2 linked regions of the Caenorhabditis elegans genome follow. The protein of the gene in region 1 purifies or fractionates together with the protein of each later gene. This does not show direct contact. Each region holds a gene or a part of one and is shown on either strand. Other genes may lie near its edges.

The links.
Region 2: the proteins of H29C22.1 (region 1) and F47G3.1 fractionate together in Caenorhabditis elegans (co-fractionation; one large-scale study listed by BioGRID). This does not show direct contact.

Annotation. Positions count from the first base shown.
Region 1 is NC_003284.9:9,307,371-9,317,161, reverse strand, and holds H29C22.1 (uncharacterized protein), read left to right. Parts: upstream 1-5,836; 5' UTR 5,837-5,849; coding exon 5,850-6,045; intron 6,046-6,224; coding exon 6,225-6,466; 3' UTR 6,467-6,537; downstream 6,538-9,791. Other genes in the region: npr-7 (G-protein coupled receptors family 1 profile domain-containing protein), read left to right, coding at 1-76, 741-879, 1,080-1,208, 1,264-1,343, 1,390-1,498; ttr-38 (TransThyretin-Related family domain), read left to right, coding at 2,674-2,818, 3,295-3,425, 4,313-4,462; tmc-2 (Transmembrane channel-like protein 2), read right to left, coding at 6,924-7,004, 7,057-7,122, 7,171-7,255, 7,334-7,426, 7,477-7,593, 7,935-8,045, 8,097-8,153, 8,229-8,345 and 5 more.
Region 2 is NC_003284.9:2,380,565-2,395,158, forward strand, and holds F47G3.1 (Bravo_FIGEY domain-containing protein), read left to right. Parts: upstream 1-5,188; 5' UTR 5,189-5,243; coding exon 5,244-5,390; intron 5,391-6,625; coding exon 6,626-6,874; intron 6,875-6,925; coding exon 6,926-7,036; intron 7,037-7,084; coding exon 7,085-7,253; intron 7,254-8,010; coding exon 8,011-8,294; intron 8,295-8,343; coding exon 8,344-8,435; intron 8,436-8,575; exon of another isoform or gene 8,576-8,731; intron 8,732-8,915; coding exon 8,916-9,006; intron 9,007-9,048; coding exon 9,049-9,366; intron 9,367-9,414; coding exon 9,415-9,753; intron 9,754-9,936; coding exon 9,937-10,032; intron 10,033-10,180; coding exon 10,181-10,261; intron 10,262-10,310; coding exon 10,311-10,443; intron 10,444-10,532; coding exon 10,533-10,612; intron 10,613-11,537; coding exon 11,538-11,627; intron 11,628-11,670; coding exon 11,671-11,737; intron 11,738-11,809; coding exon 11,810-12,033; 3' UTR 12,034-12,323; downstream 12,324-14,594. Other genes in the region: F47G3.4 (TIL domain-containing protein), read left to right, coding at 1,026-1,083, 1,407-1,519, 1,576-1,728.

The sequences.
Region 1 (9,791 bases):
TTTCCCTGTGCCACTGGAGAATCGCAGTTATTTTGAACACGCAGACGAAGAAATTCCAAACATTACGTAGTGCCAGGTTTGTTTTTGATGAACTTATATCCCAATCGTAATGTAGGCCAAATTATCCTCTTCTGAGAAAACATGTACAGCTCCAAAAACACAAACACCGAGATAAATCAAGGAACGAATAATAATAGGGGTAGTGAAAATCTGTACTTTATTCATTTCCGGCCTATTTCTATTCAGCTTGAATTCATTTTCCCCCTGACCCGATCTCCGCGTGTGTCCACATTATTTACATAACACATAGTGAAATAATAAGAAAATGAAAAGGAACACGATTAGATAAAGTGTGTTATTTGGGAAAGCATTTGAAAACAATGGGACGCGTTTTTTATTTCACCTTCTAGACAATTCGAAGTGTTAAGAATATGAATCTTTGTAAAGATGACATCATTTACTATTCCGAATTATAAGGAACAAGGGGAAAATGAATAAGAAATAAATTACATTGTTAAGGGCCAATGAATATCACGGAAAAATTTTGGATGAAGTGATTCAGGTCTAGCCAATAAATGCAAAAGGAAGTCGTTTGAAGTTACTGAAGAATATTTAATTTGCATTTAAAAACTTTAAAACTGAAAAAATACAATTGTGTACGGCAGCATTAAAATATCCAGAATATTCAATAGTCATTCTTAAGTTTACAAATTACTCGAACAACCCTTTCTATTTTTCAGCACAGTCACCCAATCGACTGACATCCGCCGTAAACAACGTCTTCAGACTCTCTTATTGGCAATGGTGGTCATATTTGCCGTGTCCAGTCTCCCACTGGACCTTTCAAATGTTCTTCAAGATTTGATCGTAGTGTACCAGGTATGTCTATTTTTGAATTGATATATGTTGGTGTAGGTGTCCGTGAAAGAAAAATGAAAGGATCAATCTAGATTTTGATGAATACCAAAATAGGTTGTGCGAGTGTGGGAGAAAGGGTGCGAATGTGAAACGTGGGGCGCAAAGGACCGAAAATCGAGAGAGCTTTTGATGTAGTGGAAAGAATTTGAATTGTATTTCAGGTTCGACCTGTCCCCGACAACGTTCGCCATTTTATCTTCTTCTTTTGCCATTGGACCGCAATGGCAGGAACACTTCTCAACCCGTTAGTCTACGCGTACTACAACGAAAACTTCCGGCGTCAGATTCAAGTAAGCTTCGTTTTTTTTGAAAAAAGGTACTTGAGAATAATCCGATATTTTTCAGACATGCTTTGGAGAAATGCGTGGACAGGGAGAGTTCAAGCGGGGGCTATACTCTATTGTCTCCGGCAGATACTCCTACCGGTATGTCTAACTGTTCACCTCGGAAAAATTCATGTTTTTGTAATAGAGAAACTTTCAGAGCAGACGACGAGGAAAATCATCACAGACAAAACACACGTATCGAACTGGCTAACAATCAAACTGGTGATATCGAAGTTCTCAGAACGGATCTTTAATTATTTTTTTTGAATGTTTAATGTATTTATCTATTTTGTAGTTCAAATTGACTAAAAAAAAACTCATTCATAGAGTAAGGCTGGTCTTTGCAAATCCTTTGGGTCAATAAAACCGCTGACTTTGGTTTTATTTTTCTCATTCTTGTCCCGGAATCTCAATTTTGTATTGATCTTTTTTTTTCAAATTTGTATTGTACTTTAACATTTTGGTCGTCGGTATATACGGAATAAATATGATTATTGAATATTTGAGAACTTGTTTTTAATCTATTTCTATAAACTGATCATTAATGAGAAAAGTTTTTGTATGAGAGAAACTGGAACTAAACTTGGAACGTAAAATCATAGGGCATTTTTTTCTAAAATTTTACAGAATTAAAATTTGAAAAAAAAAGAAAAAAATGGGCAGTACATCATACATTTGTTGAAATTATTGTATAATTATTGCAAACTCTTTATCCTGTGTTTCAAAATAATTTACTACCTTTTTCAATGTGAAAAATGTTAATAGTTTAATAGTTTAATTAGATAATAGTTTAAGCAGTAGTTAGTTTCCAGTAAATTTTATAAGGTTTTACTGTTGACTAAATTTTTTTCAACGTCAGGAAATACATATATGCCAGGTGAATCATCAGACCGTAGACAAACATATTGAACAACTGAAAGTTTGATTTTTCTGTCTTCATATCTATGTTCAGTCTGAAGCCTTGTTTCGCAATGCCAAATGTTCTGAATGTTTGGCGAATCCAAAAGATCATCAATTTTCAAAGATCTATATTCGTTTGGTTAACGATTTTTATTCATTCATATAGACGACCTTGCGTTATTTTTTTTAAGCAAGCAAGGGAAAATACATATTTTGAATCAGTACTAACGATTTGAGATTTCTTTTTAAAATATCAAAGATTATTTCACACCTTATACTTCAAAGTTCACGTTTCACCATGTTTTCTATTTTTTCTCTTTTTTTTTAACCCACTCTCTATTTGACTTCCATATTTCATCATAATTGCAGGGATCGGTGCCTAGTTCTGAAATGTATGAAACACACAAAATCTTATTCCTATTTTTTATACTCAACTTGTAACGATATTTGCTAATACCCGTTGTCTTAACATTATTTGCTCGGAATTCTTTACACTTCCCTTTCATCACTCAGTTGTCAATTTCAGAAAATGGAACTACAAATCCTTTTCGTTTTATTTTTCCCGCTGGCATTTTCATTTCGAGACCAAATTGTAGGCGTGCGAGGGAAATTATCTTGTAATAACCGGTTATTGGCAGGCGCAACAGTTCGGTTGATAGAGAAAAACTATATAGGTAAGTTTATCAAGATGGTTGTACAAAATTAATGCAACATTTTAGTTGTGAATGGCAATTTTAAGAATTGTTTTTAGCCATATTTGCATTTTTCTCAAAATTGATCCCTTCATTTTTTAACAGTCCCACCTGTGAAAATAATTTTCAACAACGAACAACAGAAAAAAAACCTTATAAAGGAAATATAATTTACCCTTTTACTTTGAGGTATTTTCCATACAGTACATGTGATACTTTCCAATTCGACTTTCAGAGCCTTAGGTCATTTTTATGGTCCTCATTCATATTATTTTCTTCTTTTCTGTAAGATTGTCACCTATATGAATTATTATAATGTAAGACGGCAAAAAAATTAAATAGATTCCCGTACTTGAAATATTTTTTTTCTGAGAGAAAATTCGATTCCTACTATTTGAATTTAAAAGTTAAAAATAAATGTCAACTAAATTTTTAATTCAACTGACCACACTTTTTAGGTCCCGATGTCATCTTGGCCGAAAATAAAACCGACTACCAAGGATCTTATGTGGTCATTGGAACAGGAAGAGGCGTTCTTGAAATGAGCGTTTTTTTGAGAATATTTCATGATTGTGACGATAAAGTTATTGTAAGTTTTTATTCTATAACTGGCAAAAAATGTCAGAAAAATAAAGGAAAAGTTTACAGATAACTAAAGTTCATTATAGAAAAAAAAAACATACGTTCCAAATTTGTTATGTATTGTTTAAAAGAATATTTTCAAAAGAAAAACACTTATTTCGAAAGACTTGTCAATAAAAGTACCAAGAAATACTTGAACACAAAAAATAATAAAACTGCATTAGTCTTATTTACCCCTAGATGCAAATTTCTAAGAAATTTATATATTTTTCAAGAAAACTTAAATTTCTGACTAGATAGGGATTAAAATATTTAAGTTTCAAGAATCTTTTAATAAAATAAAAAGGTCTAGATAAAATTGAATATATGTTAAAGTAATTAGGGCTGGGAACTATTTTTTTGGCGTACTTCTTTACAGGACCTAAAACGCGAGTTTTCTAGTTTTCTTGGTAACCGTTTGTCCAACGGTATTTTGTGATAGCAACCAAGGATGGATTTTACCCGTAAAATTCAAAAAAACGGGCGAGCGGGTCACCCGTAACCCGTGAAAACTCCCAAAAACGGGTGAAAACCGGGTGAAAACAGGTGAGCGAGTCACTCGTCACACGTGAAAACAACTACATAAAACGGCAAAAAAAAACGGGTGCCGTCACCCGTAAAAATGGCTAAAAACGGGTGAACGGGTGAAACGGGTCACGGGTGAAGCCATCCCTGATAGCAACCATAGAATAAGATCGTGTACCAAAAAAAAACAGTGATTTTTTTATTCTAGACGTTCTTGCCTACTTAAATTTATCGTTTAATTCCTTGAGTATATCGCAAAATTACTGAGTCACTTTGTTTGTGAATCCACTTTTTCTAATTCGCTCGATCATTTAAAGTTATTTGTTTCAGCCTTGTCAACGAACAGTCAGTCTACGTGTCCCATCTACGTACATTAGTCGAGGTACTACAGTCAACAATTATTTTGAAGCAGGCACTATGAACATGGCATTCCGTTATCCAGATGAACAACGCTCTTGTACAGACAGGATATTCAGTTGAATAGGCACGTGTATCCCATTTTCCTGTGGGTTTTTCTTGTGAGAATGATGATCTTCCAAGAAGTTATCACTATTGGATTTATATTATTGATAAAAATGTTATTATATTATATATATTACGTTTAACATTTTTTTGAGGTGGTTAAAACTGGACTATTAGGCCTCCAAATAAGTTCCGTGTCAAAAATCATAACTTTTTTCGTCTTTTATCCATTTTTGCGAAACTGTGGAAATTTATTTTATCAGCCATAGTCTTTTATTAGATAACAGTCAAAATATTGTTTGGTTCCCCAAAGTGTCCTCACTCGGAGCCAATTTGAGCCAATTTTTTCAGGCTATTTCCCGATCACACTTCTTCTCAGATGAAAACTTTTCGAAGTTCATAATTTTTTGGAAAAAATGTTACTTTTTGTACGAAATTGTACCCTTCTGCTTAATTAAATTAATTTAATTCAGTAAGTAATAAGAGCAATACAAATTTGATTGTTCTGATTTGTGACTATCATCCATAGAATGAATTTATGCATATTTTCAACCCGGAAATTTTAGGAACGGATGATCCTTTAGATCAAACGCAAATAAATCCTTATTAGCTAATATGTGACATCATTAGGTTTTGAACACATTATGCTATGGTTTTAGATGTTTTGGATCAAAACCTCGAAACATAGATTTTTGATACATTCTCACGCTCCAATCTTGTAGATTTGAGTACTTATCTTGTGGTCTAACATCGCTTCTGATTAGTTCTTAGAATAATTAAAAACGTGGGAGAAAGATAACAATATCACATTAAAACATATATTCAGCTTATCCATCTGGGATCAAACGTTGTTTTTGTGCCTCTATTTTACGAAAATGGCCTTAATTTGTTCAGGGTTGAAACAAAAACATAATATTTTTCGGTCATTTTATCCTTGAAGGCGGGCGGTTTGGGAAACCTGGAGAAATGTGCGCAGGTAGACAATGTTTCATTAAGACAACCGATATAAGAAGCCAAAGTTGAGAAAATTGCAGCGCCTATAGACAAAAATTACGGTACGTATACCTGAGGAAACACGCATGATTAAATGCAAATGAAAGTCAGAAAAAATAAAGGGACACCTAGACTTGTAATATAAAACGAATTCATCAACTGTCAAAAAATAATTGGAAGAAACGAACAAATTGAACGCTTTTGTTCGTGTATTAAAACAAACTTGCATTGAATTCTCTCTGTCACATATTTTTGATTCGTTTGTAGTTTAACTTTTGTGTGTTCAGAGGAACCAAAAGCTCTGAATTTATTTCGATGACATCATTCAATTGTTTGAAGATGTATTGTTCTCAAAACATTTCGAATCGAATAAAAGCAGCTACAGTTGTTATGTGAACCAGGCAAAAATCCAATGATCCCACTATTCTTTTGCTACTTTCTTTTCTTTGGTGCGACTGTCAATGCAATACGTCCAGATAAAGAAATAATTAAAGAGTTTTTGGACGCAAGCAGAGCAGCAATTAAACTTGAAAACAACGATGACGTTCCAGAGTTATTCCATGAAAACTTTGAGTTTAAAACATGTAAAGAAGAACGGTATAACAAAGGTGAGATATTCAAAAACCGGCTATCAAAAAAACATGTCAAAACGTTTAAATATAATAGTAATCTCCAATGTTTTGATTGGGCTTTTGTGAGCTTTTAATTTGTGCAAAATTTACGTGTATTGTGTTTGTTCAACAAATTATTGACAAAAAATTTGAAAATGTCAACAAAAAAATTTCAGAACAAACTGTGGATTATATCATTGATACTCTGAACCCGGACGATTACAATGCAACAAGACTGACAGCTATCGACAGACCATCAATGGCAAATGGCATAGTATTTGATGTGATTATCGATGGAATCACAGATGAGCCAACTTATGCGGAGTTTATTATGACTGAAGATGAACAAAACAAAGTTTGGAAACTATTACGAGGAACCGAGACCACTTGTCCGATAGATATTCCTTTAAATGGCTAATTCAATGTGTAACTTAGTTGATATTAAACGAAATCGAATGTGTTTATTGATACTATAAATATTTTGATGTTAAGGAGAAAAGGAGAAAGTGTACAAAAGACAAAAGTGGCCAATTTCGGGTAGAAAATTATTTTCACAAAGTTTGTATTGATCTACCTGATGTAGTTGCTGACACGCCTTTGAGAAAAACTAACATTTTGAGGACAATTTGCTTTTTTCCATTATTGTATATTTTGCAGACAAAATAAAATAATGAATGAAAAATGTTTATTCATCATGTTTAAAAAATGTACATCACAGACTCTGTCGCCAATGTTTGGAAATGCATTGGCATTGAAAAACCACCAAGTATGAACGATTTTAAAATTTAAAAATAAAACAATAGAAAATGTGAAAGACCAGCCAAGGTATAGGACATTACCCAGTAATTAATTATGAAATTAGAAGACAACAAAAATTAATCATTATCCGATTTTTTTGGTTTTTTCGGCGACTTTTCGACTCTCATTTCATACTTGCGATTCGAACTGTCAGAGTCCTGAAAATAAATGAATACAACTAGTTTTGTTTCATTATTCCCAATTACTTACATTCTTTTCGGAAGGCGGCTTTCGTGGAGGTGACATAGATATCCTAAACCGAGGTGGTCGAGGAGTCTGAAACATCAATATCTTTAAATAGTATTCACGACAACTTGTTCTTACACTCGGCTTACTTCCGCTCTCTGATTGCTGATCTTTTTCACGTTTTAGTCTTTTCAACTCTCTTGGTGAATGTGGGATTGGTGGTCTGAAGTTGTTAATTTAACACATTGCAAAAGGTATGTAACGATATGTTTAATTAGAAAATGTATTGCTGATTTCCTACCTATCAGGAATCAAACGCCCTTTCTCGTCATCAGTTGTCTCATCATTTGACATAACCTCATTCATAATTGGAGACATCATTGCAGAGGTGTAGCTGAAATCATGGTAAATTGATAAAGTTTCAATATAGTTTTTCATTTCTACCTGCTGTGAGGATTCAGATTTGCCCATAGTGGTTCATGAAGTGCAGGATCGCCAAGTGAATCGTCTGTTGATGGAGGACGAGTTGGATCTTGGGAAGAGTTTTCTACCGTAGCAACTCTGAAAATATTTATAATGATTATCTTAAGCTACCAAAGTATTTTTGCCGGTCAAAAACCTAATATCGAATCTGAAAGGTCTTTTTTCACAAAACGTGATGTATTTTCCTGTTTCGTGTCTCTGATCACGTACTGCCAACCATTTGAAATAAAAATACGATCAGTAAAAAAATCCAGAACAAAACAATGAACGAACAAAGTGAAGCTCGTAGTGATAATACTGTAGCTCAGAAAGTGATATAATATTTTTTAAATGCTAATTTCAGGCACTGAATGAGAAATGTATATTTGAAAATATCAAGTCGTGAAAACAGGTTTCCAAAAGTTATTGTTATTCCTTACCCATATCGAATATTGTGTGTTGTACTAATTGGCTGCAGAAGCCTCCTTGCAGCTTGTTTCTCAATTGAAGATGATGGCTGATGCGAGCTACTTGATGAACTAGCAGAGCTCCTAAAATGTATAACATAGGTGATAAGAGCAGTTATAAAACCAATAACAAACTTTTTCTCAATTCGCAAAGGTGTGATGTAAGTGTGAAGTGGATTTTCTGTGATCTCACTGCAAATTAAAAGTGCTCGTTTCGAAAACTTCTCACAATATTCAAACCAAACGTCTTCCTTCAATCAAACTTACATTCTCATTTCAGAATTGGACGGTGCAGTAGTAGTAGATTTTGATGAAGACGCTGATGCGGATTGTGAGTTTTGATCGAATGATTGGATAGCTGTACGGTAGGACATGTCACGATTACTGAAAAATAATTATTTTGTAAATAGTGATTGCTGTGATAATTGATGCTTGCCTTGTTCTTCTACTTTGTGAGCTTCGTTTACTTGGATTTTCTGATCGTTCTCTAGATGCTGGACGAGAACCGTCGGGTGGCAGAAGATATCTGCTTTCGGAGTTTCTGAAAATATTAACTTTTAGAGGAACTACGTGACACTTAAATCCGAGTACAAATTTTTTCTAAGAAAACTACTTTTAAAAAAATGGCCCGGAAAAAAAGCAAATATGAATAAAAAAAACTACCTCTTTTCGCTATCCTCATCATCTGAATCTGTTTCGGAACCAGTTGATAATTCTCGAAGCCTTCCACCACCTTCTTCCATTTCAATATCATCATGTCGCCCATATTTATTTGGATCAGCCCAGCCAATGCATACTAAAAACCTCTGACGAAGAGATAACTTTGGCGGAAGCGACGATGTTGTTGATTCACTATCAGAAGATTGTTCTTCACCGGTGCTGTGATCAACTTCTGATACTGATCCTAATGAAGGTACAAATTGGCGACCTGATACACTTTTAGCAGTTGATCTATTGTGCTGGGAATCATCATCAGAAGAAACTCCTTTTGTTGGTGGGGGTAGTAATTGTTTTGGTTTTTGTTTTCCAAATGTGTTGTCTTTGCTCTTTTTCTTCTTTCCCCCGGCAAGCTCAAAGATTTTTTTCTTCTCTTCTGTCCGTTCCTGGAAATGTTCAGTGTGATGTTTCATTGCATTACATTTGACAGTCAAATTTCGAATAGGACTAAATTTTGATAAAACAATTTTAAAAATCATACCACCATAAGTTGAAATGACAGGTCTTGATTAGCTTGTGATAATCCGGTAACCATTGCAATGAGGAAATATATAACCAGTCTGGAATTTTTAGCTACTTAAAAATTTACAAATGTTTTAAAACTTACGACAACAGTACTAAAACTGGAATAATGATTCCTGGAGACAAACTGTACTTGATACCATTAACAAGGGTTTTGTCTAAGTTTTCATGAAGAACATCAGTAATGACACTGTAGAAGAATGATTGATTTCTGAAATTCGTATATGTGATTGGGAACCTTCAAAAATATACGCTAAGCCCAATTTTCTTTATATTAAGGATGTACTTTAAAATACAGATGTAAAAATATTGAATTTTTATTAAACTTATTTGAAGTTTTAATTTATCAAACTCTTACCCAAATGGACCACAACTTTTACTCGGAGTTTTTGAAGCTATAACAAATCCGACTGGAAGTGTACAGAGGAATAGGAACAGTATTAGTAGTGCAAAGAAAAAGTTGGACGAACGACTGGCACGAAAGATTTGACTGGCCGGAACATTGCACGTCATTGCAGCCCATCCTCGAATGTACATCAAGATAATCAATTTTATGTTATTCAGCATTGGGAGAAGTGGAACAAAGAAGAG
Region 2 (14,594 bases), 6.9 Mb from region 1:
ACTGCCAGAATTACTAATTTTAGTGAACTGCCAGAATTACTAATTTTAGTGAACTGCCAGAATTACTAATTTTAGTGAACTGCCAGAGTCACTATTTTTAGTGAACTACCAGAGTTACTATTTTTAGTGAAAAAAAAATTATTATATTTTTCCTGGTTCTTACAGTGGGAACTCAAAAGATATCCGCAGTTGACCTTTAATCAGTTGGTGACGCCATATCTGAAATTCACCCCCCGTAACGTGGCATTCTTCCAAGACTACGTTGAAGTTAACAATTTCAAACAATTTCAAAGTGGAGCATTATCTGGAAATATGTATATCGAACAGAAAATAACTACAAGCGTCTCAATACTGATTCATTTTGTCAAAAAAAAACGTCAACTAGTCCCGTCAGTTTTTGATTCTCTAAACATTCTCACTTCTCTCATCTCTGCTCTCTCTCTTTCTCCACCTTCTTCAATCACTTTGTGTGTTTTCGAAATTGTACCCGATCATGAGACACATCCCCATTTTTCTTATTTTAAAAAATAGTTCAACCTTGATATATCGAACGTGCCAAAATTCTATTTTCTTCCTCATTTCCATCATCAGTTTTCAAGAAAAACAAGCCAATTAATCTCTCACTCTGCTTGTGCTTTCTTGAACATTAAGCTTTCTCTAGAGTGTATGTCCCCGTTCGAAAACTCAGTGTGCATTTTGTAAATTTTGTAACCCAATTTTTTGCCGCCTTATAATTTTCCCCTAAATAAAATATTCTAACTTTTGATAGGTTTTCTGTTTTAAATTGCTCTTTCAGTGCAGACAATAGGCCAATTTTGTTTAATTTAGGAATTTCAAAATTTTGAGTTCTTCGTCTAGACAAGCTTGTTATTCCTGTTTTCCAAAAAAAATGTGAATAACAGGAAGCGCCTATCTGTTAATTTGTACTATTATAACAGCGTTGAAACAAAACCCTCGTCAGCTGTACTCCTCTATTTTTTATTTTACTGACTGTCTAGAAAATAAATAAAAATTTAAAGTTTCAGATGAATTTTCATGTTATTCTGTTTGCCACTTCCATCATCACAGTTTTAGTTTCGACCGGTGAGAAGCTATTAATACCCCAGACACGAAAATTTGCGCTCAAAATACGGTACCCGGTCTGCGCACGAGACGTGCGCCTTTAAAGATTACTGTAGTTTCCACTTGTCTTTGTTGCGGAATGTTCATCAATTTTTCATAGTGTTTCTATAACTTTTTATGTGCATGTTTTTCTAGAGTTTGAAGATAGACTACTCTTCAAAGGTGCAACACCTTTTTGCATTAAAAAAACATGTGGTGTCGAGACCGGGTACCTTATTTTTAGCGAAAAATGTTGCGTCTGGGTATTGATTTTCGGCATTTTAAAAATATATTTCTGGTTTCAGCAAGTTGTGGAAAGATAAAACGAGAGGTTCATTCTTCCGGATGCCCGAAGAATTCCGTTTACAAGGAATGCACAAACTTTTGCCCGGATAAAAGTTGCCAAAACATTCAAACGGTACATTGAAGCACGCCCCTTTCAAATATTGTTCATAGATATTGAGTTATTTCTAGGTATCAAGCTGCTTCTCTCTTCGATGTGGACCACCGGCTTGCATGTGTAAAGAAGGGCACGTTTATTTGGATGGAAATGACAAAAACAAAGGATGTGTGAGCAGAGAGACCTGCAATAAATTGAATAAGCTCCGTGACGCCCATGTTCTTTAATTTTATTTGCAAAAAAAAAAACAATGAAGATCATAAATTACTCATTTGATTTGAAAGTATCCTCAATAAAGCAATATATACAGCTACGCGCAACACAGCCTCTTCCGATGGAAATGCACCAATCGAGCGTCAAGTGGCTGCTGGCGCGTTTCTAGTGCCACACGTTGCGCGCTTTCGTCGTATTTGTAATTTCAATCGCATTTTTTGCTGTTTTGCTTTTCTGTTAATCTTTTATGAAATGTTTGGATTTTTCAAGTACAGTGATATCATTCTCATATTTAGCTGCAAAAAGTAAAAAAAAAAATCCATTAATTTCTCTCTGTATTTCTCCAGTTCCTTGTTATAGCTTTAAAATCATTTTGATTATTTTTACAAATACAATAAATACTTTTTTCCAGACAGAATGCCGGATCCACTGGAAGCCTCTATCAATCATATTTTGAAACAAAAAACTCTTAAATGGATTTTTGTGGGTGGAAAGAGAGGTGTCGGAAAGAAGCCGTTCAGTTGCTCATTGGCAGCTCAACTCAACACAAAAAGTCGTGGAAGAATTCTTCTCAGTCGATCCAGCTCACAACATTTTGGATGCTTTTAGCCAGAAATTCATTCAAACTCCAACACTGGTCGAAGGATTCGAAAATCTTTTCGCGATGGAAATTGATTCAAATTCAAATGGAGAAGGCGTAGAAATGGGAAATATCAAAAAAATGTTCCAAAATGCTGCACAAAACGAAGGTGGAAGCGGTGGATTCTCGATGGAAAAAGACTTTCTTCAAAGCTTTGCTGGAGGATTTCCTGGGATCGATTAGGCAATAAGTTTCGGGGAAATGATAGAGTTAGTGTCAATGATTCTGATTTTTCTAATATAGTATTTTTTCAGGTTGATAGATTCTCTTGGCTTCGACGTTGTGGTCTTCGACACTGCTTCAACTGGGCACACTCTTCGTCTTCTTCAATTCCCAACAATTGTTGATAATTTTTTTACCAAAATTCTTTCACTTCAAGGAATGTTAGAACCAATGTTGAATAACATCGGTGGAATGTTTGAAATGGAAGATGATGAAACGCTTGAGACGATGATGACAGCTGCAGTGAAAGATTTGGAAAGGATGAACGCACAGTTCAAGGATCTTGTTAGTTTTTCAGATAATGTATAAGTGCTTTTTAAAATTATTACGGAGAGATATCACCCAGGCGCAAAAAGTACGGTATCTGGTCTTGGCACGGAAATAAAAAAATGTTAGTTACGTGCGAAAATGTATGAGCCTTTAAAGAATACGATAACTCCAAACTCTCGTTGCTGCAGAATTCATCAATAGTTAAATGCAAAACACATTTTTATAAAAAACTATAAAAATTCCAAAAAAAAAATTATGCAGCAACACGTTTGAAACTACAGTAATCTACAGTAAAGGCGCACGTTTCTTCTGCTTTTCATAGAAAATTTGTCGAGACCTGGTATCAAATTTTGTGCGCAAAATTCTGCGTTTGGGTAATATGCTTGTTTTTGGATCTCTACAATTATATCAAGGGCAACTTCTAGCTTGATCCATTGGATTCAGAGATTTCAAATCATCAAAATTTCTGCACAGTATTCAAATTTTTATTTACAGAACTGCACCTTATTCGTCTGCATCTGTATGGCCGATTTTCAAGCCGAACGACATATTCAGGAGTTGTCCAAACAAGGAACCGATACTCATAATATTATTGTCAATCAACTTCTCATTCCGGATATCGATGAAAATGGAGCAGTTTCAAGGCGAAAATGTGCACAACAAACCGGCCAAGCTTCAACTTCTGATCCAACCCGAGGTTAGTTTTATTTTTTATAGATTTTTGAAACAAGTTCATCGGAATTTTTCAGGTATGTTCTCGTGCAACTTCAGCAGTATGCACTTCAGGACCTCTTCAACACTTAACCGTCATCTTCTCAACATTCATATGGAACCACAAATAGGACTGGAACGAGTGGAGATGTAGTGCCGATTGCAAAGTCTCGCAATCTTCCGGGAGCACTTCTAACGCAGCCTGCTCAAGTTCATGAAGTATAAAAAAGAACACACCCATCATCCACGACGTCGGCTGCAGAGACTTCAGAAACAACCGAAACCATCGGGACTACGTATCTTTGGAGCGTCCGGTGTGAACTCCCGGCTCCAAAATGGTGAGTAGAAATGTTTTCTTTTGACGATTTCTCAAATAATAATATTCCAGTTTGGTGGGACAACGAAATGGAGTAGATGGATGCTCAAATCCCAAGACTACAATCCATCCATGTATAATTACCCGAAATGTCATACATCTTTTATTTTTCTAGTTTTAAACTTGCAAAACTTGTAATACCCCAGTTGTTAAGTGTTCCGTGTTACATATGTATGAATATAATTGTTTGTTAAATGTTTGTTAGTCAAGATCATTTTATACTGTATTTCTCTTTGATTTGATTATACCTTTACAACTAGATGAATAAACAAAATATAAATGAAATTGAAGAATTAAATTTTTTTCTGCATGCACAACATTTTATTTTTTCTGCATACACAACAACGTGTAAGTATACAATAAAAACAATTAGTTCAAAAACACTTTTTTTCTTTCAGTAATTTTTGATTTTTTTTTTGAGCTCCTCGATTTCGACGTTTTAAATGTTTTTTATGTAAAAAAAATCTGTGACATATCTGTGACAATTTTTGTATAAAAAATCATTAACTTTGAACGAAATTTTTTTTTTGAGAATTCTTTGACAACCAAAAAAGTTAAAATACAAAAGCATTTCACGCATAAAATAAAAAAAAAATTTCCAAAATGACAGGAGTATAATACACAAGCACCACATTTTTAAATGCTTTTTTTTCGTAAGTTTTTTATTTCGTTTTAGCAAGGTTTTTTCTGTGACTATCGTCGAATAAAAATCATGGTTGCTAACATAACTTCCCACAATTTCAAAAAATCGGTATAAAATAAAAAATGTCATGAATTTCGACTCAAGACATATTGCCACCTCTAATAAGAAAGTAAATTTAACTAACTGGACAATTTTTCAACAAAAAAAAGTGCAAACTAGCTGGGCGTCCTGCTTTTGAGATAACTTAACAAACTTCACTTTGGACTTCTCTGCATTTTCTAAGTCATCAGAAATCCGAAAAAAAACACGTATTGGATTCTTGAGACTTTGAATCAAATGTTGTTTTATCCAATTAGCATTGATAACGAATGATTGAAAAGCATACCAAACATGACTTTGTCACATGTGTCCAGAAAATGATTGATCAGAAATTATGAGACACTTCTTTGGAAAAGCTAGGCCTCAAAACATAAAAGTGAATAGATGAGTAATGAGTAATGGTTGTTCTTTCCCGCCCTAGTATTTTGCTTCTCTCATTTCTGCCCGATTTCTCCCCGCTACTGCTGCTGCTGTCGTCGTCGACGCCGCCGCCGCCGTCACCACCGTCTAACCACACATTTCGACAAAGGCGCCGAGTGTATCACGCAGCCGGATAGCGGCTGATAATATGTACAGTCTTATTGTCCCACCTACCCGCTTCATCATACTTATTGCATGTATTCTCGCATCTATCCAGCTTCTTGTACAATGCTCTCCAATATCAACGTCCTACAGAACTCTTCTATACGGGGAAAAGCTGAAAGGCTTTTTGACGGTCAGTATCGTATTAGTGTCGCCTTGTGTGTGAGGAAGTTGTCTTATCTTGCGTGTGGGGTGACTGTGCGAGTTGATTCGATTCAGTTGGGGTCGAAATGGAAAGAAAAAAAAAAGATCGAAGTGTAAATCATCCCTTTTATTCTAGTGTTTCTTCAATCCTTCCAAGGTTGTTTCCAATTTCTATTGTCAATCATATCAAGAAGGGAACGAGAAACAAGAATTTTCGTTTTAGAAATTGATATCAACAATCGTATTTTTCACGTTTCCCGGAGCAAAATTCAATTTATAGAAAGAAATTTTTAAAAAATTTGAACTCAAATCATGATGGTGTAGTCGATTATTTTTTATCGCTTTATTTTTGAAATTATTTGAAAAAACCCAAATTTTAAAATGAAACTTTTTGATAACTTTTCAAAAAAAAGTTATGTGAATGTCGCAGCGGATGTGACCTTTTTTTTTGAAATCACCTTCTAATTTTGGGTTTACAAGTTAATTATGTTGCCTTTTCAATCGAGTTAGGTTTTCATTTTTTGAGCCGCGATAACGTTTTTGTGAGTAGTTTCCAAGCAGTTTCGTTATGAAATTCGTCGTTTTCAGACAATTTCAAGTATAGTGAAGCAATACTAAAAATTCGACTGGGCTTAAATATGGCTCAAATATTAAAGCGACAGTACAAATATTAAAGCGACAGTACACTTAAAAAGTGGCAAAAGTTTTTGTCAATAAATCATTTTCAAAATTTTTTTGAAAAGTTTTGGCGCTATAGGATCATAGGTTTTCAACATTTTCCCCACTACTAGACAGTGTAAAAACTATAATCTGATATCCTTTCTCCATTTTCAACTTGGTCTAACAATAACATTCCATGATTTTTTTTCAAAACAAGTCGTAAACGGAAAGGTTTAGAAAATAAACGTCACATGTTTTCCAACAAAAAAAAGTCCATTAAATTTTAACCTCTGTGACAGAAAAACAATAGGTCAAACTAGTGCGTCTTGAAAGTACCTCGTCTTGGATCTACATTGACCCAAATTAAAAAGATCATAACTATTCTCCTACGATAGACTGATAGACTAACAACCGTGAAATGTTCCATCATTTCCAATCAGTGATTAATCTGTGACGACCAAAAAGATGAAGACACACACGTGATTGGTGGGGGGATAAGGATGCGTTGAAGACCTTCCTTTGCCGTTAGTTTCGATTTTAACGATTTTATTTTCAAAGTTTCAGATATCACCAGCTGATGAGAATGGGGATACTTATATTGTTAGTTTCGACATTAAAGAGAAACCAAATGATACTTTGGTATGGGCAGTACACACCTCATCCGCTCCTTACGACATGGCTGTAATGACTGATAATTGCCGGCGTGTAAAGAAAAGTCCGCCCGTCGTGAAGAACATGCCGGTCACAGATTCAACCATCGCTGGCGACGGTCTGGCAGGCAACACGTTGGTGATTTCCGGTGATAACAGCGAGGTGAGGGTCACCAATCATTGCTGTGGACAGTTCTTGCAAGAATAGTTGCAGGTTCTGGCTTGCGCGACAGTTATCATACCTGGCAAAGAACTGATGCACGCTTCGTTTCACCAGGAACCGATTGAAGGACATGTTCATATAATTCCGATCAAAAATAATGCAGTATGAGCTTAAATTTGAAGATTTTTAAATGCATGGAATTTGTTTTAGGTTCGCCTGGTACCTGATCTCAAGTATATGCCAAAATATGACTACGTTGAACCGGAGAAGAAAATCATGACTTGGGCATTTGTGGATTCTTGTACAGCATTGAATGATTCTACCAAACTAACAGACTACAGTGAAGTTGGTGTCGACTCGAGAGCGACTTTTGTTTTCAGTAAGATTTATTGATTTTTTTTAAAGGAGGACTAACGGTTCGGACGATTTTGAACGAATAGACCCAAAATGTGATCAAATGAACTAATGTCGTAACAAAACTGCTCAAAACTTTTTCAACAGTGTTTTATGCCGGTTCAAAATTTCGTAAAAGTTACACTGATTTTAACTAAAATTAAAAAACGAATTTTGCCCACTTTTCTGTGTCACATCTGCCCGAAGTTGACTGTTACGGAATAATCATCTTCTTTGCATATTTTGGTAGTTTATCTCTTTTGATTCCGTTTATTACAATACATTGAAAGCCATCAGGTAGCCAAAAATCATTGAAATTGATTACCTATTGGTTTTAAATGTGCTTTAATAAACGTAATTGAATGATATAATATACCAAAATATACCATTAAGAATGATAATTCCACAAAAGTAAACTTCGAGCTGACACAGAAAAGTGGGAAAAATTCGAGATTTTAGCTAAAATCAGTGTAATTTTTTTGGAATTTCAAACCGGCATGAAAAATATTTGAGAAGTTTCTTTACGAAACTCGTTCATTTAGGTACATTTTAAGTCTAGATTTTCAAAAGCGTTCTAACCATTAATCCTCCTTCAATGTTACCACAAAAAGTCCACCAAAAAATAACCGTATCAAGTTCCTTGTGTCTTCTGTACTGTTTCCTCTAAGAAATTGAGAAAGTAATGTGATAATGGATGAAAACAAAGATCATAACCAACTACATAACTTATATTTCTTATTCAGCACTTCCGGAAAACTACACCTTGGAATCATTGGCTTTATATCGCGAAGACAAAATATTTGCATGCGCTGATATCGTGAATGTGGAACCGAGAATACTCAAATCTCTTGGAGTCACACTTCGCCAGACACACTATTTTGAACCAGTTATTGGATTGAAATCTCCACCGAAAGAGTTGCATATTAGGGATGATTGTTTAGATATTTCGACGGAGATTGTGCATAAAAACTATTTGAGCTATTATCCTTCGGTTAATATTTTCGGATCCGAATCAATTATGTTAAAGGTATATCCGGTGTCTAGTGGCATTTCATTGCTGGAATAACATTATTCAGAGTCTGGTTTTGAACAATTCTTGTAATGCGCTCCGACCACAGTTTGCTCGGCCGGCTGCAATTGCCAACTTCATACACCCTGTAATTGGAAGGTAATAGTAGGATTAGCGCAAGTGGGGAAATTATTAAATACTACTGAAAACAGTAAAACTTTTTGGAAAAAATTGAAATTTTTTCATTGACAGTGAAAAAGTGACAATTACGGAGTTTTAGAGCCTCCATGGGAGGCGGGCGCGGTTTCAGAGCTTAACGCCTGCCTCCAACCTGCCCGTCTCACGCCGGCCTCTAGTGTAAAAAGTGGTTCTTTTGCCGCGGCCGACACTTTTCGAGTTTCTCGCCGAACTATATAACAGCCGATAAATTAAGGTAAAACTACGAGACTTACACAGATGCAAAACTAAAGCTTACTCGATAAACTTGTTCCTTTCAAGTGTTCTTGTCCTAATTCTAAAAATACATTACAAAAATTTTAAGTTTGGCTAAAAACACTTCTTAAATTTGCTTTATTTTTAAATTACAGTTGTGGTTGAAATTTTCGAAAAAAATGTTTTAAGCAATCATAAAAGTTTCAGAATTGTACTCGTTGATACAGATGACAAAATTTTGCTCACTGGGGAAATTCGAAATATTTTTGATGAAATGTCCACGCGTGCAACTGTGTTGGTATGATCCATTCAATAGATTGAAGACATATTATTCGTTTAGATATCCAACAAAACTGCTGAATCGACATCTTGTGCACATACAACGTGCGAAACTTGTCATAAAGTTGAAAACGCTGCCGTCGTGGTCGGCAAAAATGAAAAAGCAGTGACAATGACTGGAGTTTTCAACTGGTTCAACATATCAGACATGAAGTCTGCCATAATTGATCTCGAATGGATGAAAGTTTGCGCAAACCTCACAGTTTTGCCTTCCGGAGCCCTCACAATGCATGCCATGGTGAAAAGAGTCGCTCCGTTTTCATCGGCTACCGTCGCCTCGCTTGTGGCTTTGGAATATCCGGCCAACAATTATACGGAGGTCTGATTCATTTTAATTTTGAAAAAAGTTGTAGCTTTTCATTTCCAGATTCTGATTAATAAAAAGCAAAAATTCTCCGACGTTCAAGCACATTTCCGTCCTCTCGATCGGAGTATCACAAGTGGTCCCCCATGTGGAGAACAGAATTTAGGAGGCGTCACAAAACTTCCTTGGGTTGAAGAACTAAAGAAAAATTTCATGAGTCACGAAAACGATTCCAGTGTGATTTTTGACGAACGGTTTGTCACCGGCGTGACGAGTATGCTTGGCACTTCAATTCTCCTCAAGGAAGGGAAGGATGTTTTCTGTGGACACTTTGAACCGCCCAGTGAAAGGACAGTCGCGTTTGCTGAACTTGGACATCCTTTTGATGGGTATATTAAAATGGTGAGCTCAATAGTGTATCACGAAAAAAAATACTTTTTTCTTATAATTAGTAAAAAAGTTTTTCTTAAAAATAATTGCACTCACTTGCAAGCTTTCGAATGACAATTCCAAAAATGTTGTAGTAATTTTTTTATTAAAACACCGTTGACTAGGTATTCCAACTGTAAGGTAAAAAATTTTCAGACACAATACACAAAATCGAATTGGGAATCCGGATTTCCTACTGAAATCTATTATTCTTTGAAGTACATGAATCAAATTGACCCCACAGTCAACCCGGTTTGTTACTTTTTTTTGAAAATAATAATGGGGTTCCGAGTGCGTTTATCCCTTTTTTTCAGATTTTTTGCTACAAAAAATGGCAAAAAAGGATGAAAATGCACTTGAATACCCTCATAAAGTTTTTAAATTTATCCTCCAAATTCAGGAATCAGTGACATGGGACATTGTGAGCGATCAAAACCTAACTTGCAGCTCTGCAGTTATTTTTAATCCGCTACAAGTAGATGTGAGTGGTTTTTTTTTCCGAAATCACATTTGCATTCACATAATTTCAGGAATCTGAATGCACTAGTCAGCGATATGAGTTTTGTCCCATCGGAAGTGCTTCAAACCGCTCAAAGCCGCTGCTAATGCACGCCCGCTGGCATTTAACTGCTCAGGGTTTTCCGCTATCCGGCCCTTATTCAGGTATGTGTATCACTCATAGGAGGCGGAATTCGAAGCGTGTGAAAAAGTCATGAAATGTTGATGTCGCCTTACCGTCTATTTTATTGCAGTAATCGGCAAGACACTCAGACTGCAATCGATCAAGAACCCAAACCAGATTGGCTGTTACCCAGTTAAAAAAGTCTCAGAGGTAAACAATAAATCAAACAAGGAACCAAAAGGGGCCCTAAGAAAAAATAAAATAAATCTACCCTAATTGACAGAAAACAGTCCCAAGATACCAAATATGAATGTAAAATAATTAATTTAAAAAATTCTAAATTTTGTATTATTTTTTTCAATTCTGGAAAATATTTGTGACAAATTCGATATTTGTAACCTAAAAACTATCGTTGAATATTCTCGTTTTTTAAGATTTTTTTATTATGTGACATTGATTGTGATTTAAAAATTATACACTGTTTAGAATTTTTTGATTTTCTGAAAAAATCAATTGGATTTTGATGTCAGATTTTTTGATGTCAGTTATCTTTAAAAAACAGTAATTTTTGATAATTGTACCCTACAAACTATACTTGAATATTCTAGTTTTTCTGGACATTTATTTATTTATTACGTGACATTTATTGTGAATTTAATAATTTAGAAATGTTCGATTATTTACAAAAAAAAAGTAATTTGTAATTAGATGCCAATTATTTTCTAACAAAAATAAGTGTTTTTTTTAAATATTCACAATCTCAAAACTATACTCGAATACTCTATTTTTACGTGAGAAAAAATCTTTTATTATTGGAAATTTATTGCAATTTAAAAAGCAATTAGAAATTTTCGATTATCTAAAAATGTTGGATTATGATGCCAAAATAAAACCATTTTTCAAAATTTTGGGCCGCCATAAAAAATTTCAAAAAACTAAATTCGTTAATTTGAGCTTATTTTCAGTCTATACATTCAAAATACCGAAAACCGTTAGTACACTTTTAAGCATTTTTGTCAATTGAAAAATGTATTGTAATATCTTGAAATTTGTCTAACCCCACGGCAAGTTCGTGCAAGACTATTTTCCACTAGGCTCATAGCGCCCCTATATTGGGAATACGGCATATTTCCAGGCAACTTTCCGATGGGTGGTTTACACCAATACTTCGCTGTCTACTGTGCAGCAAAAGATTTCTGACAAAGCCGGAGTTCCGTCATTCAAGGTATGAACAAGTTGAAAATATATTATTGCACATATATTTACAGGTAGAAGTTGATTATACAAGGGAACTCTATCAAACACGATGCACAATATTTAGAATCACAATTTTAGGTAAGTGCACTTTTTTGTAGCTACAGAAGTTCAAAGAGAGTAAAGAATTATTACCCACAACTTTTGTTTCAGAGAACGATGAAAAACTGGAACAAATCTTAGACTCTTTTGATGTGGAAGCAAGAAAGTTTATCAATGATACGGAGCTCGTTTGTAGTGAAACACAGCCGTTGACAGTCGATGCAACTAATGCAATATCACAGAATATTATCACATCCTCCACATCCTCACTGATATTTTCAATTCCCTTGCCAATATCCCTACTGTTCATCTTACTGGCTCGTTGTTTTCTGTAATTGTTTTTGACAATCGGTTCATCAAATACGTGTATAACTGCGTTTTTAATAATGATATATATATTTTTCCCCTGCTCACCCCGCCTCGGTTGAAAGATAAATCTGTAAATATGGAGCCGAGTAAGTGAAGTGGTTGCGTTCGTATAACGCGATTATAAACATCCGGTTGGTGATGTGCACATCAACAGGGGCTCCTACTCACTTCAGATGAGAGCTTCTTCTCTTTTTAGCAATTTACTACGTAATTCCACCTGTCCCGTTTTGAAGGAAATAAAACGTGAAACCGCCGTGTTAACTTTCGCAATGTGTTTTTTTTTGGAATTTGAAAAGTATTTATTTAAATTTTCATTTTACCAAATTAAACAATAATTGCAAAATTGAGAGGACAAAATTGAAAATTGATATCGTTTCAATTTTACACTATTATTTTTTCACACTTTTCTAACAAAATTTATGACGGTTCAAAATTCGGTCACTTTTCCGTATTGAAGCGGTTGGAAATTAACTTTTTCTGAAATATCATCATATTTTTTCTCATATTTTGGTCTTTTATCTCACTGTATTTCAAGGTGTTAATTCGAAAAAGTCAATTTCGAACAGCTTCAACACTGAAATTTAAGCACATTTTGGGCACAAATGTTTAAAATACCCCGAACCGTTAGTCTTTTTATAGATGGAGTTTTGCCCTAAGAAACGGAAAACGGTTCAAATATATCATAAATAAATTTGAACCAATTTATATAGTTTTTCTGAATTTTTTAGTAATTTTTTCAATTTTGCATAAAATGCGATAGGTTAAATTATTTTTATTCAATGTTTCGACTTTTTTTTTCGAAATTTTGAACTCTGTAGGTTTTGCCCTAAACGACTGAAAACAGTTCAAATGTATTAAAAATGAATCTAAAACGAGTTTATAAAAATTTTCTGAATTTTCCAACGAATTTGAAAAGGCTGAAATATTTCTGAACTTTCGCGCAAAATTTTGAACCGCCATAAAAAATTAAAAATTTTATTCTAGATATATCATTACAAAATTCGTTTATTTTAGCACATTTCGAATCTATCCGTTCAAAATTCCCCGAACCGTTACAACTTGTTGATCTAAAAGTGTTTCCATGTATTCCTGTGCCTCATTTTTTTTTCTCTCAACATTTCGCAACGACGCTCATGTACACACGACGCGTGTATACATGTCGTTACCCTGTATCTAGGCGAGCTGATATCTACTATCAGGATTCCGTGGAATTTTTGAGTAGAATTCATCAAATTTGTGTGAATAAATGTCACATGAAGACGGCAGTAAGCAACGCATAAATCGACCCTGTGTGGAAAGAAGGCGATGGAGAATGAGAGAGGAGGGGAAAGGGAACCTTATTTCTGGGTGGTGCCCCCGAAAACCACCATCGACAATTTTCTTTCACGTCAAAACTAGCAATGTTTCTTGCAGCGGGGGGCTAGGTGGGGCTCCAGAACTTTTCATGTTCCCTCTTCTTTTTTATACGAGCTATTATGACAAGTTGCACTGCTGCAGTACGTTGTACTTGAATAAAAAAAACGGATATTACTTTTATTTCTATAAAAACCGAATACAACACATGATAAAGAATATTCAAGTTAATTACCATAGTGCAGCACGTGAAAGTGTTATCTTTCCACGATATCCTGTGCACATGATATGGACTTCATTAGTGCACCTGGCTATTTTCAACATGTGCATCGGTTCTATTCTCCCTTTTAATTTGTAGTCATTCATTACTCTCATTTTCTCATATTATTTCCTAGACGTAAATTGATATGAGTAGTTGGTCCATTTTAAAACTTTAAAAGTTCTGTGATCCAAAATGTACTTCCCATTTTTCGGCACATTGAGGAATTTTTCAATACGCTTTTTCTCAACGTTGTGTCAAAATTTTATTTTTGGTTATATAAAAATTTTAAAGTTATATAGAAATGTAGAGAAGTGTTAATAATCTTAGAGACTAACTTTACTTTTAACTGAAAGTTTTTGAAAAATTGTGGTGGCCAGTGTTATATACACACCAGGATTGGAGCAACTTTTCAAAACTTTTTATTGAAAATAAAGTCATTTTAGAAAGTACTTATATTTCTATTTAAATTTCCAAAAAAAAAGCTTTGACACAACGAAAATAAAGATAATTTGTAATGATTATTATTAATTGGAAAACTTATTAACCTCAATTTAGTAGTTAAAAGGTGGAGTAGCGCCAATGAGGATATCTTTGAAATACTATTGTAATCTAATATTTAAAACAACCGAATAACAATAAAACACGGCAAAAAGTTGTTAATTTTCAAAAATTTTAGCACATTGCTAAACTTTAAAACATTATACGCTTTTTTATTTCTCTTCCAAATTATTCGCTTCCAGAGAAATGTCGCATGTTCCGACCCCTAAAATAAAATTAAAGTATAAAAATCTTATATAAAAATCAAATATTAGTAGTTTTGAACCCTTTTCCTCACTGCCGCTACTCTACTGTGGACGGGACCCTACCTTTTCATCAATTTAAATATATTTCGAGTTTGCCCTACTGTCGGTT